2 linked regions of the Caenorhabditis elegans genome follow. The protein of the gene in region 1 interacts with the protein of each later gene in a pairwise test. Each region holds a gene or a part of one and is shown in the gene's direction. Other genes may lie near its edges.

What was found.
Region 2: the proteins of dyf-2 (region 1) and che-11 interact in a protein complementation assay, tested with the Caenorhabditis elegans proteins (one study listed by BioGRID).

The regions. Positions count from the first base shown.
Region 1 is NC_003281.10:13,682,109-13,688,348, reverse strand, and holds the start of dyf-2 (WD repeat-containing protein dyf-2), read left to right. Parts: upstream 1-1,809; 5' UTR 1,810-1,903; coding exon 1,904-1,915; intron 1,916-1,972; coding exon 1,973-2,061; intron 2,062-2,453; coding exon 2,454-2,519; intron 2,520-2,591; coding exon 2,592-2,726; intron 2,727-2,892; coding exon 2,893-3,092; intron 3,093-3,348; coding exon 3,349-3,742; intron 3,743-3,785; coding exon 3,786-3,853; intron 3,854-3,906; coding exon 3,907-4,248; intron 4,249-4,510; coding exon 4,511-4,737; intron 4,738-5,079; coding exon 5,080-5,225; intron 5,226-5,303; coding exon 5,304-5,355; intron 5,356-5,614; coding exon 5,615-5,925; exon of another isoform or gene 5,926-5,987; coding exon of another isoform or gene 5,988-6,056; intron 6,057-6,240. Other genes in the region: cul-2 (Cullin-2), read right to left, coding at 475-618, 670-698; sid-2 (Systemic RNA interference defective protein 2), read right to left, coding at 5,988-6,056.
Region 2 is NC_003283.11:12,143,748-12,152,868, reverse strand, and holds che-11 (WD_REPEATS_REGION domain-containing protein), read left to right. Parts: upstream 1-2,161; 5' UTR 2,162-2,179; coding exon 2,180-2,284; intron 2,285-2,435; coding exon 2,436-2,568; intron 2,569-2,653; coding exon 2,654-2,739; intron 2,740-2,786; coding exon 2,787-2,908; intron 2,909-2,957; coding exon 2,958-3,150; intron 3,151-3,753; coding exon 3,754-4,075; intron 4,076-4,120; coding exon 4,121-4,236; intron 4,237-4,726; coding exon 4,727-4,978; intron 4,979-5,024; coding exon 5,025-5,290; intron 5,291-5,339; coding exon 5,340-5,457; intron 5,458-5,502; coding exon 5,503-5,784; intron 5,785-5,892; coding exon 5,893-6,106; intron 6,107-6,152; coding exon 6,153-6,261; intron 6,262-6,308; coding exon 6,309-6,689; intron 6,690-6,736; coding exon 6,737-6,832; intron 6,833-6,880; coding exon 6,881-7,551; intron 7,552-7,598; coding exon 7,599-7,720; intron 7,721-7,762; coding exon 7,763-7,975; intron 7,976-8,019; coding exon 8,020-8,192; intron 8,193-8,234; and 3 more. Other genes in the region: Ectonucleotide pyrophosphatase/phosphodiesterase C27A7.3, read right to left, coding at 8,631-8,771, 8,825-8,972, 9,017-9,121.

The DNA.
Region 1 (6,240 bases):
GGAAAATAAGTGAATGTTAGTGTTTTGGAGCAATTTTTTACAATTCTTGGAATAATGATTGAGTTTTTCAGTGAATTATACACGTGAAATAAAAAAAAATAGTTTTGTCAAAAAATTTTCGGATTTTGTGGACAAAATCCTCGAAAAACTTTTTTTCTCTGTCAAAAATCGAATTTAGGATTGTTGCTTACAAACAACGCGATTGCTGAAAATAACTTCAAAAATTGATTTTTTAAAACATAACATTTTTACAAAATCGGATTAATAACAAAAAGGTAATTTTTGCCTTATATATAAATAGTTTTTGCACAAAAACTTTAGATATTGGCCAAAAATCAAGACATTTTTGAACAAAAAATCCCAAAAAATCTTTTTTTTCAAATTAAAAATTCGAAAAATCTGTTGAATGACAGAAATGATACTTTCTGAAATTTCTATCACTGGAAAAAATCAAACTTTTCCTTCAAAACTTACCTAAACTTGTGATGCCACTGAACATTGGTGATCGGCCGCAAATTGATGATATCAATGATAGATGGTCTCAACTGCACCCATACTTTGTCAAATTCCACAACTTTTGGCTTCAGTGAGTACATAACCTGTGGACGAGGTGGACGACTGAAAATGATGACAATTTGTGCGAAATTTTCAAAAAAAAATAACGGGTACCGTAAGGAAACTTTTGTGGAACTTGCCATTTTTACGGAAAAAGCGAAAATTTTTGAAATGCGGATTAAAAAACTAAACACGAAAATTTAATTGATAAAAAGAATCACGTGATTTTAATTATTCTTTCTTTTTTTAATTCGTTCAATTATTTAATATTCAAACCGAAAAATGAGAAACCAGGGGTCATAAACCAAATAATATCGATCGATGCGCAGCAGACGCACTCACATTTTCTTCAATATCGGCTCAACGACGGGAAAATTGTCGTCAGAAATTGCCTTACGGCGGCCAAGTGTCGTACGATTCGATGTCGGCTGTGTATTCGACGCCAGTTTTGCCTGTGGACGGTGAACCTCGGACCGGTTTCCTGTGGAGGTTACACTGAAGATTTTCGGGGATATGGTGGAGAAGCTGAAATTTGATTTTTAGAGAAGATATATTGAAAAGAGATAACAAACGTTAAAAATATATTGAACGTCATATGTTAGAAGTTGGCAATGACAATGAAAAATGTGACATGTGAGAAAAGGAGGATTTTAAAAAGGAAATCTGTTTAGAACAAAAATTAAGAATAATTTTCTGAAGTCTAAAATTTAAAATTAAATTAATATTTGAAGTTATTAAAGGTGGAGTCGTTTTGGAATTTGATTATAAAGTTTTCTCTAAAAATTTTAATATTGAAAAATTAAAAAAAAGAATACCCTTTTGGCATTTTTGTGCATTTTTTGGCTAAACTTGGAATAAATGGCCAAAAACCAAAATAAAATCGGAGCAGTGCTACAGTACTAATTAAAAAAACTACTGTAGTTTTCGCTATGAGATACTTCTCAAAATTTAGTGTACCCGTAATGCTCTCCCATTACAAATGTATTTGCCCCAGATGTGTAAATGAATAATTTTATCAAATATTTTTGTTCGATATTCACATAAAAAGATGAAATTGCGGTTTGTTTTTTTTTCTCGAGAATCCAGAAAATTCTACTAATTGTCATTATTCCCAAACCGGGAATGATCAAATCCCCTCTTCCACTTCCCCTGTTCTTTCCTCAATTTGCGTGCTCAACACACACTGTGTAGCCCGGTTACCAAGGCAACAACTCCCCAAAGGCTCGGGTAGCTCAATGATTTGTACTTCATTTTTTGTAACCATTATTTGTAGGCTCGTGACATAAGTGACAAATCATAGGGGAGCAGTGGCAAACGTCGAAAACAACGGAGATCTTCATTCATATAAATGTCATTAAAGGTAATTCCGTGTACTCTCACAAAAAATCAGGAAGTATTTAAATGTGTTTCTGCTCAGCTTCAATATCGAAGAGGCGAAGAAGAGCACGGAAGTGGACCGATTATTCATCGATGGAGACCAAATGGGCATACTGTAGCTGTTGCATGGTTTGTTTATTTTTTGTTTAATTCTTATTTTTAACAGTATCTTTTTTAAAGATTTTTCTTTAAAATATTCAAAATTCAAAAACTCCAAAAAAGACGAAAAAAATCGAGAAAGAATTTAAAGCCAACTTTTAGAAGTAGGATTTTCAATTTTGGCTAATTGTCCTGTTTGATTTTTTTTCCAAAATGGGAGCTTCATGACCAATGCGTTTGCAAAGACCTTGATTGGTTTGAAAATGGGTGGAGCCAATCGCTGATTGTTCAGATTTTTGAAAATTTGAATTTTCATCATTATTTCTCAATTTATTATTATCGGTTCTGGAATTTCTGAATTTGAAGCTTTTTAAATGCATTTTAAAGCTGAGCTTTTCCAAGCAATAAATTATACTTTTCAGCGCCAATAACACGGTCATCTATTACGATAAGAAAGGAAATGTTATTGACGCGTTGAATCCAACTGGGTGAGTTCAGAGTTTTTTGAAATGTAAAGAAAAAAGAAGATTTTCGTGATTTACACTTTTTTCAACTTCCAGAAAACTTATCGACATAGCTTGGGATAAGGAAGGTGATGTACTAGCGATTGCCGTAGCAAATACCGGGACTATTTATCTATGGGATGTGAACTCGCGGAATACAGATACTGTTGAGAGTGGAGCGACCTCTTCAAAGTGAGTTGAAAAACGGGGGCATTTTCTAAATACGGTTACAAAATATTATTTCAAAATTTTGAAACTGTGAGATTTTTTGGAGTTTTCAAAAGATTACAGATTTTTCGTTGTATTTCTACGTACTTCAGATTTAAAAAGTGATACACCAAAACTTGCTTCATTCCAGAGAGCTCCCAACATGTCTTGCATGGTCCCCAAGTACTCCTACACTGGTAATCGGCAACAACGCAGGAAATATCGTCGTCTACAATCATCGAACGTCTCGGCGGATAGCCGTGATGGGAAAACATCAACGAAGTGTCACACAGATTACAGTAACCCCGGAGGATTATGTAATTTCTTGTAGTGACGATAATACACTTTCAGGTTAGAATATTTCCGTTCAAATTATATTCGAAAATCATGTTTTGGAAAAAAATTGAAAACAGTCAACCCAGAGAAATGAATTGAATGAAAATATAGTTCCTCCGATTTACTGGGTATTATTGCAAGAGGTTTTAACTTTCCAAATAAATTTGACCTCAATTTTATATTTATTTCAAGAGAACAATATTAAGATGAAAACCAACTCTCGAAAAAACGTGGCATTAAAAATTGATACAAGTAATACCTAAATTTGTAGTAACCACACTGGAGGGCACCACAGTGAGCACAACGACGACAAACGGAGAGCCCACAAATATGGATTATGGTTCCGTGAATGGAAAAGGTGGAAGCGGTGTCACGATGGTCAGCGTGGTTATAGGGAAGAAGATTCTGATGCTCGCGCATTACAATGCTCTCGACGAACCCGTGAATCTTCAGTTTCAGGAGAAATATGGAAATATTCACTCCTATAGGTGGTTTAACGACGGTTATATACTCATCGGCTTTGACCGTGGCTATATAATATCGATTTCGGCACATAACAACGAAATCGGCTCGGAGCTAGTCAGTTTCCTCGAATATCGTGGATATCTGGCTTCTATTGCTGTTAGCACCTCGTTTAACAAGCTTCTCACCATCGGAGACAACATGTACGAAGAATCGGTATTTCAGATAATATTTCATGATTTTCAGGGTCAAAGTTCGGGATCTCGACGAGCTTACGACTGTTACTATGCTGACAGAAATTGAAACTGAGAAAAGTGAGAAGCTGGTTTTACTGCAAGCTGAGCTATTTTTTCGAACAAATTTGCAGATCTGAGCGAGATCGAGGTGACCGAAGACGGTCAACTAGTCGCAGTGTCGTCCCAAAGCGGAGTTCTCTCGATATTCGTGACAAAAATGCCAACGCTTGCCGCTTCCTACAACAACTCTATCTGCTACCTGACGAACTTGACACAAGTGACTGTGGTGGCGGAAGTCGAGAAAAAGGGCTCATCGACTTTGGAGCTCAATATTGAACCAACTGTTATGGGATTGGGGCCGTTGAATTTGGCGGTCGCCAATAATAATACCGTGTTTTTCTATGATTATCATACACCTGCGCAGATGCAAGCTGCCCAACAGCTGCAGTCCACTCAATCGGCTGCAGAGAAACGTAAGAAAAATTTAGATTTTTGGCGGAAATTCGAAAAATTAGGGATTTCATGACAGGTTTCAAGAGTTCCGCTTTGGAATATTCCATCAAAAGACATCATGCAAGCTAATAGTCGGAAAATCGACAACTTTTCAGCACCTCGAAAACAAAATTTTAGAAACATCTGATTTTTGCGAAATTTTTTATTTTCCCTCGTTTTTTAACTTAATTATACACTTTACGTCCTAAAATCTCGCTTTAAAGCAGAACTCCCTCTTTTCAGCGACCATAGTTGCCGCGGAGCCCATCAATCGCGTCGAGTACCTCTCCACGGTCACAAACATCCAGCTAAACTACATGTACGCTGCTGTCAACTTTGGGAGCAGGCTCCGCCTGCATCGAATCCGAAATTCCGAGGATAACGTATCAATTGAGTTTCCCGAAGCGAACCGCAACGCGACGCTCTACTCTTACGCTTTGACCGAAAATTTTCTGATTTTTACGACGAGCGTGAGTGTTAAACTGATATTTTGATTTACGAAGCTAACATTTTCTAGAAATTTTGAGAAAAAGCTTGAAAATGGCAACAAAAAGAAAAAAACTAAAATTCAAAACTAAAATTTATAAAATTAGGCGCCGCTGTGCATGTTGCGCGGCGGTGTATGCACACAAATTACTGTAAGGCATTTAAACTGACGCGCAAGTTTTTAATTGTTATTTAAATAATATTCGATTTGGAAGATTGAAAGCAAAAAGGATATTAAAAATGAGAGCAAGAAAATACGCAATTGACAAATTAAACAAATTGAAAAAAAAACGAATTTTTCAGCTATTCAGTAAGAAATATTACAGAACAACTACATTGTGTACTTTTCACTATCAGAATGGGCTATAGTCAGTGAATATCGTCACGTGGTTCCAGTTCGCTCCATATTCCCGCATCCGACAAATGTCGTGTGCTGCTGCTTCGACGACAGACTAGAAGCTATGATTTATTCGTAAGAACCTTTAAAAGAAAAGAAGCTGCAGATTTCATAAAATCTGAAGCAACGCGAATAAATTTTGACACTTTTCAGCGCAGTTGACGATGAAGTCTTCAGGCTCCCTTCAGTGGGATCCAGTGCTCATGTAAGTCATATGAAAAACCTCACATGACCAAAAATATACTCCCCCATTTTCTTTAACACTTGCGCAATTTTTCAAATATTCAATTTGTTTCAATTCTAACTTTATAATTATAGCTCCGAATAGAAAAAAGTCAATATTTGCCTGATATAAAATTGAAATATGAAACCCCGGAAGTAAATCTTTGAATTCTAGAAGATCGTCGGCCCATTGTTACGATGTGCGCACATTTTTCTCCACAAAGAAATTTTGAATTTTCCAGTACAAAGGAGCAATATGGGAGACATTTACAATCGACAAAAACACCTTTGCCGTATTTGACTCTCAGAATATTTACGTGTTTCTTCTGAGCAAACAGCATATTCAAGGAGAATCTGTGATCTACGTTAGCGCGACACGCCTACCTCACGCCTATGTTCCCTTGTCACTGAATAAGGGAATAGTAACATGTCTCATGTCAAATGGAAAACTCTCTTCGGTACTTTTGGACTCTCATAAGACGGAATCGGTTATTTCAGACAAATCGGAGACTGTGATCGATGATATACTCACAAGATCTTTATTGATGCACAGGTAAGATTAATAGTTTTTCAAAATCATATTATTGGAATAAAAATAAAGAAGTTATGGGTGTATTACCAGCTTTCCAATGTAGCGAAGGGGTCATTGAATTGCCCATTTGAGGTTGTTGAAGGTTGTGCGGCCTGGAATACCCAAAACAGATTTGTAGAACAAAAAACTATTGAAACCAAGTTTCCCCCTTTTCAAATACCTCAGGATTTCATTTTTTGGTTAAAATTTTTTTGTAAACTTTTGGCAGGAAACCAAAAAAAAGTTTGTTTTTTGAAAAACCTCGGTGCAATTTTGAAAAGTGTGAAAAAATTTTTA
Region 2 (9,121 bases), on another chromosome or scaffold:
CATCAAGTGCTCTTCGGTGTGGGAACTTAAGTTATGAAATAATAAAGATCAGATTGCGTTTTATGGATATGATGCTTGTCTTATATAACTTACAGGTTTTCAAGTACTTTACAGAATCGTCACGAACAAAATTGGTTAAAGTTACTTTTTTACAGGGTTATAATAAATGTTAATATGGAGTGCAATCCATAAAAAGTTACATAACTTAAATTTTGGAAATCGTCCGAAACACCTGATTCTTATATCGTTCGCAAATGACGCCCAACACAAAAATTACAGGAATTTCCTTTTTTAAAGCACAAATAATTTGTCATAGAAGGTTGGAACAAACAATCATATTGTTCTTTTTCTGAATGAAAGAACCTAACAGCTGACTTTTTTGCATAGTATTTTTGGTGGAAAACGTGCATGTTATCAAGTTCACCTACTGGATATAACAACTGAACTATTATTCAAATGTCGCGCGACAATATAAATATTCAGAAAACACAAAAGTATCGAAAGATCATGTAATGACCAATGATGAAAGTAGTAACAATTATGAATCACGCTCGGGTTGTAGGTCAAACTATATTCTGAACAGTACAGAGGATTTATAAGTATGTAATTGATCACGACGTAGGCAGAAGAGATGTTTCTAACCATTGGTTCAATATAAAATTGGGCATTTATATTGGAAGTAATCAAATAATGTTGTGAACAGATATGACCATTGAAAAATTGCTTAAATTACAGCATAAGAACCTTCCAAAGTGTTTTTATTTCTGATCAAAAAATGGAAATAAAAGTTAACTTGATCTATAGGTTTGCGGTCAAAGTGCCATTTATCTTCATAATATACAGGATGGCCCATAATTATGGGGACCGTAGTTTTGTACGCAAATCTCACGTCTCACAAACTAAAAAATGAGGGTTTGTTACTTTATTGATAGACAAAATATTTTTCTATCAGCTAACATAAAAAACTTTTCGATTGGTCGAACAACAGAAGTTTGGCAGCGTCGGGAGTGTAACATGTTTTCACCCTTCTGGCGCGCAACTTTTTTTTGCATAGTTTAGGTTCTCTAAATGTTGAAACTGATTTTTTCTGTAGTGTTTTGTGCATTTTAGAACCACAAAATATATTCTCACAGTATACAAAAAAAGAAAAACAAGTTTCATTAGAATCCAGCTTCTAATGGACAATTGTTTGGAACTAGCTAAATCCCGTTTTCGCAAAAAATTGAGCGATTTTTTCACACATTCTTGCATATTCAGTAATATCTCAGGTCATTGGAATGATAGGGACATAATTTTTTACACAAAAGTAGAAGTTGGACTGTAGATCTGAAATATATTATTTTCAAAAAATTCCGCCGTCTCCTGACTTTCAAACCGAGTCGAATGTGCGCGTTTTGAGCTTTTCAACCTATCTCCCTTCAATCAATGGCCACACTAACGGAAAATTATTAAAATGGACGAATTGTTTTGAAATACGTATTCTACAGTCAATGTCATTTTAAAAAGTAATAGTAAACTTTTTAAACTGGCAGGAGTCGCTGAAGACATCATTAGAAAGAAAAACACCCACACTAGCGCGCCAGCGACAATTTAACTTCGGAACGTCGGAAGGTGTGTAACGTGTCACATAATGATATTTTCAAAGTTTAATAACATATTTTGTTCCTAAGAATATGGGGAATAAAACCTATGCTGTTAAAATTTTTTTGAAGGATTGCATCAAATTTTATAGACGCAAGTATCGGTCCCCATAATTATGGGCCACCCTGTACTTATGTACATAGTAGGGTAAATGATTTCCAATACAACTTTGATTTATGTTAAATGTTTTAATGTTCAACATTTGTGGGGGAACTTTATTCATGATAAGAACCCAGGAAAATTATGTACTTATTTTGTCTTTTTTTTTGCCTTTGCCCGTCAGTTCAAACCCAAGTTCTTTCTTGAAACATCCCCTTTTCCGAATTTATCTAGATGTTTCCCCGAAATTTTAATAATTCACTTATCTGGTTTTAAATCGACATTTTTCTTCAATACTGCCCCTTTCTTTCCAATTCCATTCGAATATCTATTCCGCCTTCCCCCGCGAGCAAAATCTCCATGGCAACCAAAACACGCATCTCCCCTTTGTTGTTTACTTTTTGTCCTTACTTCCCGATTTCTTCAATTATTAACATAAATGAAACCATTTTTAATTGAATGGGCACCTCACTGTGGTTGGATTTGTGTTGTAACTCAAGATGAGACAACTGGAGAAGCAAATGTCGCATTTTCGGATCATTCAGTAAGAAAAATGAACAATCGAACGAGATTATAATCTGTTTTATTCATGGATCAAAGCTAAATCCTTGAGTTATTTTCAATAGATCTTTAAAACAAATATGTACTTGAGCGTATCTTCCCGTTTATTAGATAATAATTGAAACAATTTTAAGGGATCTGTGCAAGAAAAGGGGCCATCAAAACCAGGATCAGTTTCTTGTGTAAGATGGCATCCAAAGAAACAATTCGTGGTAGTAGGATGGAAAGATGGAGGAGTTTGTTTTATTCCAAAAGGAGGGAATGTTTGTGAGTGATTTTCAAAAAACTAATACTACAAAAAGTTATATATATATATATAAATAATGTTTTAGTAATGGAAAACTCATTTCAGCTCATACTGTGGTCGAAACATATCCATTTCCAAATCAAGGAGTAGATTGGAGCCACGACGGAACTGTTTTGATGACGTTGCATAATGTGAGTATCAATTTAAAAAACTTACAAATTATTTTATTTAATTTCAGCCATCATCAGTCCATTTATACTCCTACATGGTAATTGGAGAAGAAATTTCCACTTCAAATATAATGCAGATTGAGCTGAACGATCAAATTACGTTATGGTGTAAACGATTGAGCTATGACAAGTAATATAATTCATAAATCTGAGTGAAATTAAAAATGGTAAAATTTAAGATTCAAACCAAGTAAAATTTCTGTAACGGATGATGACAGTGGAGTTGATGAGTCACCGTTCGGTTCAAAAGAGTCACTGGCAGAAAGAAGAGATGAAAAGAGTACTGTACCAAAGGGTACTGAGTTCTTATTTGCAGGCAAATCAGGTACCATTTATGGAGTGGATAATGACCGACAACGGACTATTCATAAGGTGAGCTAGGATAAAGGTTACTAGTCTATGCACAAATGTAGCCAACTTTGTATTGAAGAGTTCTGGTTCCTAATAAATATTTACAAGCAGATGAAATAATACAGTAGTTTATAATTTTTCAAAATTTTCCATGTTTAGTAAAAAAATTTATAAATTCTACTTCTATGGAAGTTGCACGCACTGTATGCCAATTAATTACTATTAAGCAAAATGCAAGAAGGCAAAGGAAAAATTTAATTGTAAGAAAACTCCAATAAAAAAGCGACGAGTAGGAAATACTGTTCTCTTTAAAGACTCACGCCTCTTTTCACAACAGTCTTTTACATTACAGTGGTCCAGATTCACCTATGCTGTAGAGAAGTTACTTTGACCGCTCCAAAAATAATTTTAGAGATAAAAGGCATCAAGAATTTGTTTAAGAAGATTTTGATTTTCTCGTAAATATAAAAATTCTATTCAAAAATACAAACAGAACTACAGAAAATTTTTTAAAAATTTATCCAAATATTATTATTTTTGACATATCTGACTAGTGGTTACTCATAAATAAAAACTCAAATTATGTTTAAAAATCTAAAATTAAAAAATTGGAAAAATTTTCAGCTGGACTCGGAAATCTTATTCATGGGATACTGTGAGACAATATCGATAATTATTGTATTTACAAGAGATTGCTTCATTTTTCATTTGGCCAAGGGAACATCTGAAATGCGATGCGCAGAACGAGTAAAAGTGAAACTCGGAGGAAAATCTGAAAAATATTCTTTGGAATTGGATGATGGAATACTGGTGATGTGTTATGGTGAAAAAGAAATTCGAGTATGGGACTTGATAAAAGAGGAGAATGGAACAATTGCATTAGATGTAAACAAGGGATTTCAACCAGATGAGACAATAAATGTAGTCACAGTTAATGGGAAAAGAGGTAAGAAAACCGGAAATAGAGGTAATCAAAGAAAATATTGATCAGGTGTGATAACTGCGGCAACGAGTCTCAATAATATTGCTGAATGGAAACGAAAACGAACTGATACTAATGTCGAGAGTGCTTGGAATTTGAGTCCCAGCACGCATGTCGATAGCCAGGTGAGTGAAGATGACACGCTAATCCCCTTTTAGAATGTTAGATGAGAATATCCTCCAAATGTTATTCCTATTCGAGTTTCTTATAAATTTTGAGTTTATAGAACTGAACTAAAAACAAAATAGCTTTTTCCAAAGTAGGAAATTTTTTCAGTTTTCCACAAAAACATAGTATTTTAATAGTGTATATTTTTTCATCTATTTCGGTTGAGAACGTTTATTTTGCTAGTTGTCATTCAAACTTCATTTGTCAACATAGTTATAGCCAATTCACTCAACCTCACAAAATTAATTTGTTTTTTGATGTTTGATATGGTAGTCTATGTGTTTTAGTGTGAATTTTTTAACTCCATACTTTTGATTTTTTGCTGAGTGCTGCCAATGCCTCTAACCGGAACTACAACACTATAATTTTTTAACTTACATTAAGGTATACTTAAAATGCAATTATTATGATAACCTAAACGTCTAATTTTAAGAGAGCTTATTTAAGGTTTCATTAATTCGTTGGAGTCCGATACTGAGCACAGCTGCTTTAATAACTGAAGAAGATCTTGTCTTAATTGGAGAAAACTCATTGACAGTAAAAATGCGTGGAAAAATGGCGGCAATTCAGACCAGTTCAAATAGTTTCACTCTTTTACATGCGACAAGTGGAGTCTCTCAAGATTTGAAGTTGTCTATTCCTTCTGCAAAAGGAATTTGTCTCGGAGAGAAGCAACTTGTTGTTTGGAATGAAGATACGGTATTCAACAGATATTCTGAATCACCGGTTTAATAAAAATTTGCAGGTAGTCACTTATGACGTACAAACATCTCTTGCAACTATCCAATGCACATCATTTTCTTGTAACACAACTTCTGTTGCAATTGTGAATCAAAACTTGTATTGCATCGAAAAAGACAAAATATTTGCGAGGACTCTTCAAGGAACTCTTCGACAAGAAATTTCCTTACCGGAAATTGAAGGTGATCCGGAAATACTTGAAGTGAATCGATGTTGGATGGCAGTTGCTACTACAAATGGATTCATTCGAATTTATAACTTAAGCGCAAAGTACAAAAATTTACTAGAAGCTATTGATTTATTGATATTAAACTTTCAGAGATGCCCAACAAGAACACAATTCGAAATACATTATCGAAAATGTGAAGAATTTTTATAAATTTCATACAATCCGAATCAATCATACTGGAAATAAAGTCGCTGTATCTTATTTAGAGGTAGTTGTTTTGTTGCAAATAATGCAGGAGCTTAAAATTTTTCAGGACGTGTCGACAGTTGCTGAACGCCTACTTGTCTACGACGCCGAACTCGATGCAGTTTCTTATTTCTCGTTTGATCGTGGAATGACAGATACGCAAGAATATGAAACCCAAGCAGAACTTGCTCATACAAGCAGTGGAAGACCTGTTACAGCAGCTGCACGGAAAATGGCAAGAGAACAATCAAGATTTCAAATGATGAACCATCGTCCTGGAGCTTTTGAATGGGATGAGAATGATGCAAGATATCTTGTAGTTGAATGCATACATGTTGAACCTGAATCAGTAAGTTACTTCAATCTGGACAAATGTAGAATTTTCAAAACAATATAACACATTTTTAACCAGGTCAATTGTTTAAAAAAACTTAGAAAACTTCCATCTTGTTTTCAGACCGATCAAAGAGTTTTAACAGCATTTGTAACTTCTGAACATGGAATACAACTTCAAGGAATGCAGCAAAAAAATCTGCATTGTGGAAAACTTGTTTCAGTCTCTGTTCCAAATTTTTATTTTGTTCGGAAATCTGGATGGGATGAGGAAGACAATCGAGATGAGAGAACTATTGGAAAAACTCTCGTGGCTAAATGTCTTCGAGAGTTTTTAGGTATGAAAGGACCCAGTTGCAAGTTATAAAAATACATTTATTTCAGGAAACGAAAATTGTGACGAATCAACTAGAAAAGCCATGATGGATTTCTCATTTTACCTGACGATTGGTAGCATGGACGCTGCATTTAAAGCAATTCAATTCATAAAAAGGTCCGTTGTTAACTCAAGAAACTCTATTTGTGATTATGATTTTTAAGCGATAGTGTATGGGATCATATGGCATCAATGAGTATTAAAACACGTCGACTAGATGTTGCAATGGTTTGTCTGGGACATATGAAAAATGTGAGAGGAGCCCGGGCGGTGCGGAGATCTCAACAAAATGGGGAGAATGATTCAATGAAGTGTGCAGCTTTGGCAATTGAATTGAGTATGCTGGAGGAAGCATTGATTATCTATGCACAAAATGAAAGATATGATTTGATGAACAAGCTTTATCAGTCTCAAAATATGTGGTCATCAGCTTTTGAAATTGCTGAAACAAAGGATCGTATTCATTTGAGAAATACTCATTACAACTATGCAAAGTATTTGGAAGCAAGAAGAGATCAAGCAAGTATTGAAGCTGCTATTGAGAAGTTGGTTTATTTGTAGTTTTGAATGATAACAAAAAATATATTTTCAGTTACGAAAAAGCAGGAGTTCATGCTTTTGAAGTTTTCCGAATGCTCAAAGACTATCCAAAACAAATAGAACAATATGTTCGTAGAAAACGTGAAGAGCGAGTTTATTCAAAAATTCTAAAAAATATTAATTCACAAAAATTCAGATCATTGTATAGTTGGTGGGGAGCCTACTTGGAAAGTGTTGGAGAATTGGAGGGTGCAATAAGCTTCTACTCTTCTGCAAAAGATTATTACTGCATGGTTCGTGTAAAGTGTATTCAAGGCAAAACCGATGAGGCTGCTCGGCTTGCCGAAGAATCAAAAGATAAAGCAGCGTGTTATCTAATTGGAAGAATGTATGAAAATGATGGTGACGTAGTGAAAGCTGTGAAATTCTTCACAAAGGCACGAGCGCTGTCATCTGCAATACGTCTCGCAAAAGAGCATGACATGAAAGATAGGCTTGCTAATTTATGCTTGATGGCGGGTGGATCTGAACTTGTAAGCGCTGCAAGATACTACGAAGATCTTCCTGGATATGCACACAAAGCTGTAATGCTGTATCATAAAGCTGGAATGATTGGAAGAGCTCTTGATTTGGCATTTCGTACTGAACAGTTCAGCGCTCTGGATTTAATTACCAAGGATTTGGATGCAGGAACAGATCCAAAAATATTGAGAAGAGCTGCTGAATTCTTTGAAAATAATCAAAACTACGAGAAGGCAGTTAACTTTTTGTGCCTAGCAAAAGAGTTTTCTGGAGCCGTACAATTATGCAAAAATAGGAATGTGAGAGTCAGTGATAAATTTGCAGAACTTATGACTCCAACAAAAGGTTCGTGTTTTCTTTTGAGATTCATGTAAAATTTACACATTTTGAAGATGACATGCCAAATGTACAAGAAAGAAAACAAGTTCTTGAAACAGTGGCGGAGCTTTGTCTTCAACAAGGTGCCTACTCAGCAGCAGCAAAGAAGTTTACACAAGCAGGAGACAAACTATCTGTATGTTGGTATAATTTATATAATGCTCAGTTTCCATTTCAGGCAATGAGAGCTCTTCTCAAATCCGGAGACATTCAAAAAATTCGATTTTTTGCAAACACTGCTCGAAACAAGGAGATCTACATTCTGGCAGCCAATTTCTTACAAACGACTGATTGGCAAGATAATCAGCAGACAATGAAAGATATCGAAACATTTTATACAAAATCACAATCTTTTGAACATCTTGGAAATTTCTACAAATCAGTTGCAATTGTATGAGGTTCTTAGTGTTTGACATGTTATTTGTTTATTTTTAGATTGAAGCCGAACATTTGAGAACTCTTGATAAATCGATGGGAGCTTTGGAAATGGCGGCAGTTTGTGTTCTGGAAGCAGAACAAAAAAATATGTCCACGACTGGACTTGATGCATTGAAAGAGGATTTGAAAAAATATGTAGTTCAACTGAGGAAACTGCAGAGTGTTTTAGAGTGAGTAAAAAATTCAAGAATTGGGCTGAAAAATTAATTTAGAGTAATGAAAAACGATGCAGCGGATGGAATGCGTCAATTAACAACTCTTGCAGAAGAATCAATTGATGATGATATTGTCCCGTGTACACGACTTTTTGCTCTTATAATTGAAGATCATGCCTCTCGGAAGAATTGGAAACCTGCGTACAGAGCAATTACAGGATTACAAAAGAAAGTACCAAATGTTGATTTGGAAACTTTCGTAGAGACATCCACATTGGATAAAGTATGTGATGAAATGAGAATGGAAAGAGTGACAAAGAAAAAGAAAGAAGAAGTTGAATCTGATGGTGAAGAAGTCGATTTTTCACATTCTTTACGGAGACAAAATGTTTCGTAATATTGTAATATTAATATTTTTATTGAACAATGAAAATAATCTGATATGGAACTCGTTTACCAAAGTGATGTTGTTATATTTCTGCGAAGATACACGTTTTGTTGGTGACTTAATGCTCCAATTTGAAATTGAAAACTAGCAATGTTTTCTACATCTTCGATAGTTGATGTGTAATCAAGAAGAATGGCATCAGAATCCTGTTTCAGAATTTTAACTTGATTATGAAACCAAATATTTATTAGTGACCTACCATACAATCCATTGTTGTTTTTTTGTTCAAAATAGGAAAAACGAAAGCTAGTGCTTTCGTGTCACTATACTTTTTGCATAATGGTGGATTTGTAGACAGCCAATTTCCGGTACATGTAATCAGAATACGGTAGAAATGAGTTGGCTCTCTAAAATGAAAAATTAAAATTCAATAGGTTTTAATTGTAGGTACTTTGATTCTTCATCGTCCGCTATTCCATCTAAATTTCTATCAACCGCTAGTCCAGATAGTACAAATAGTTTTCCATAATGTTTTAGGTATTCATCTGTTTTTATT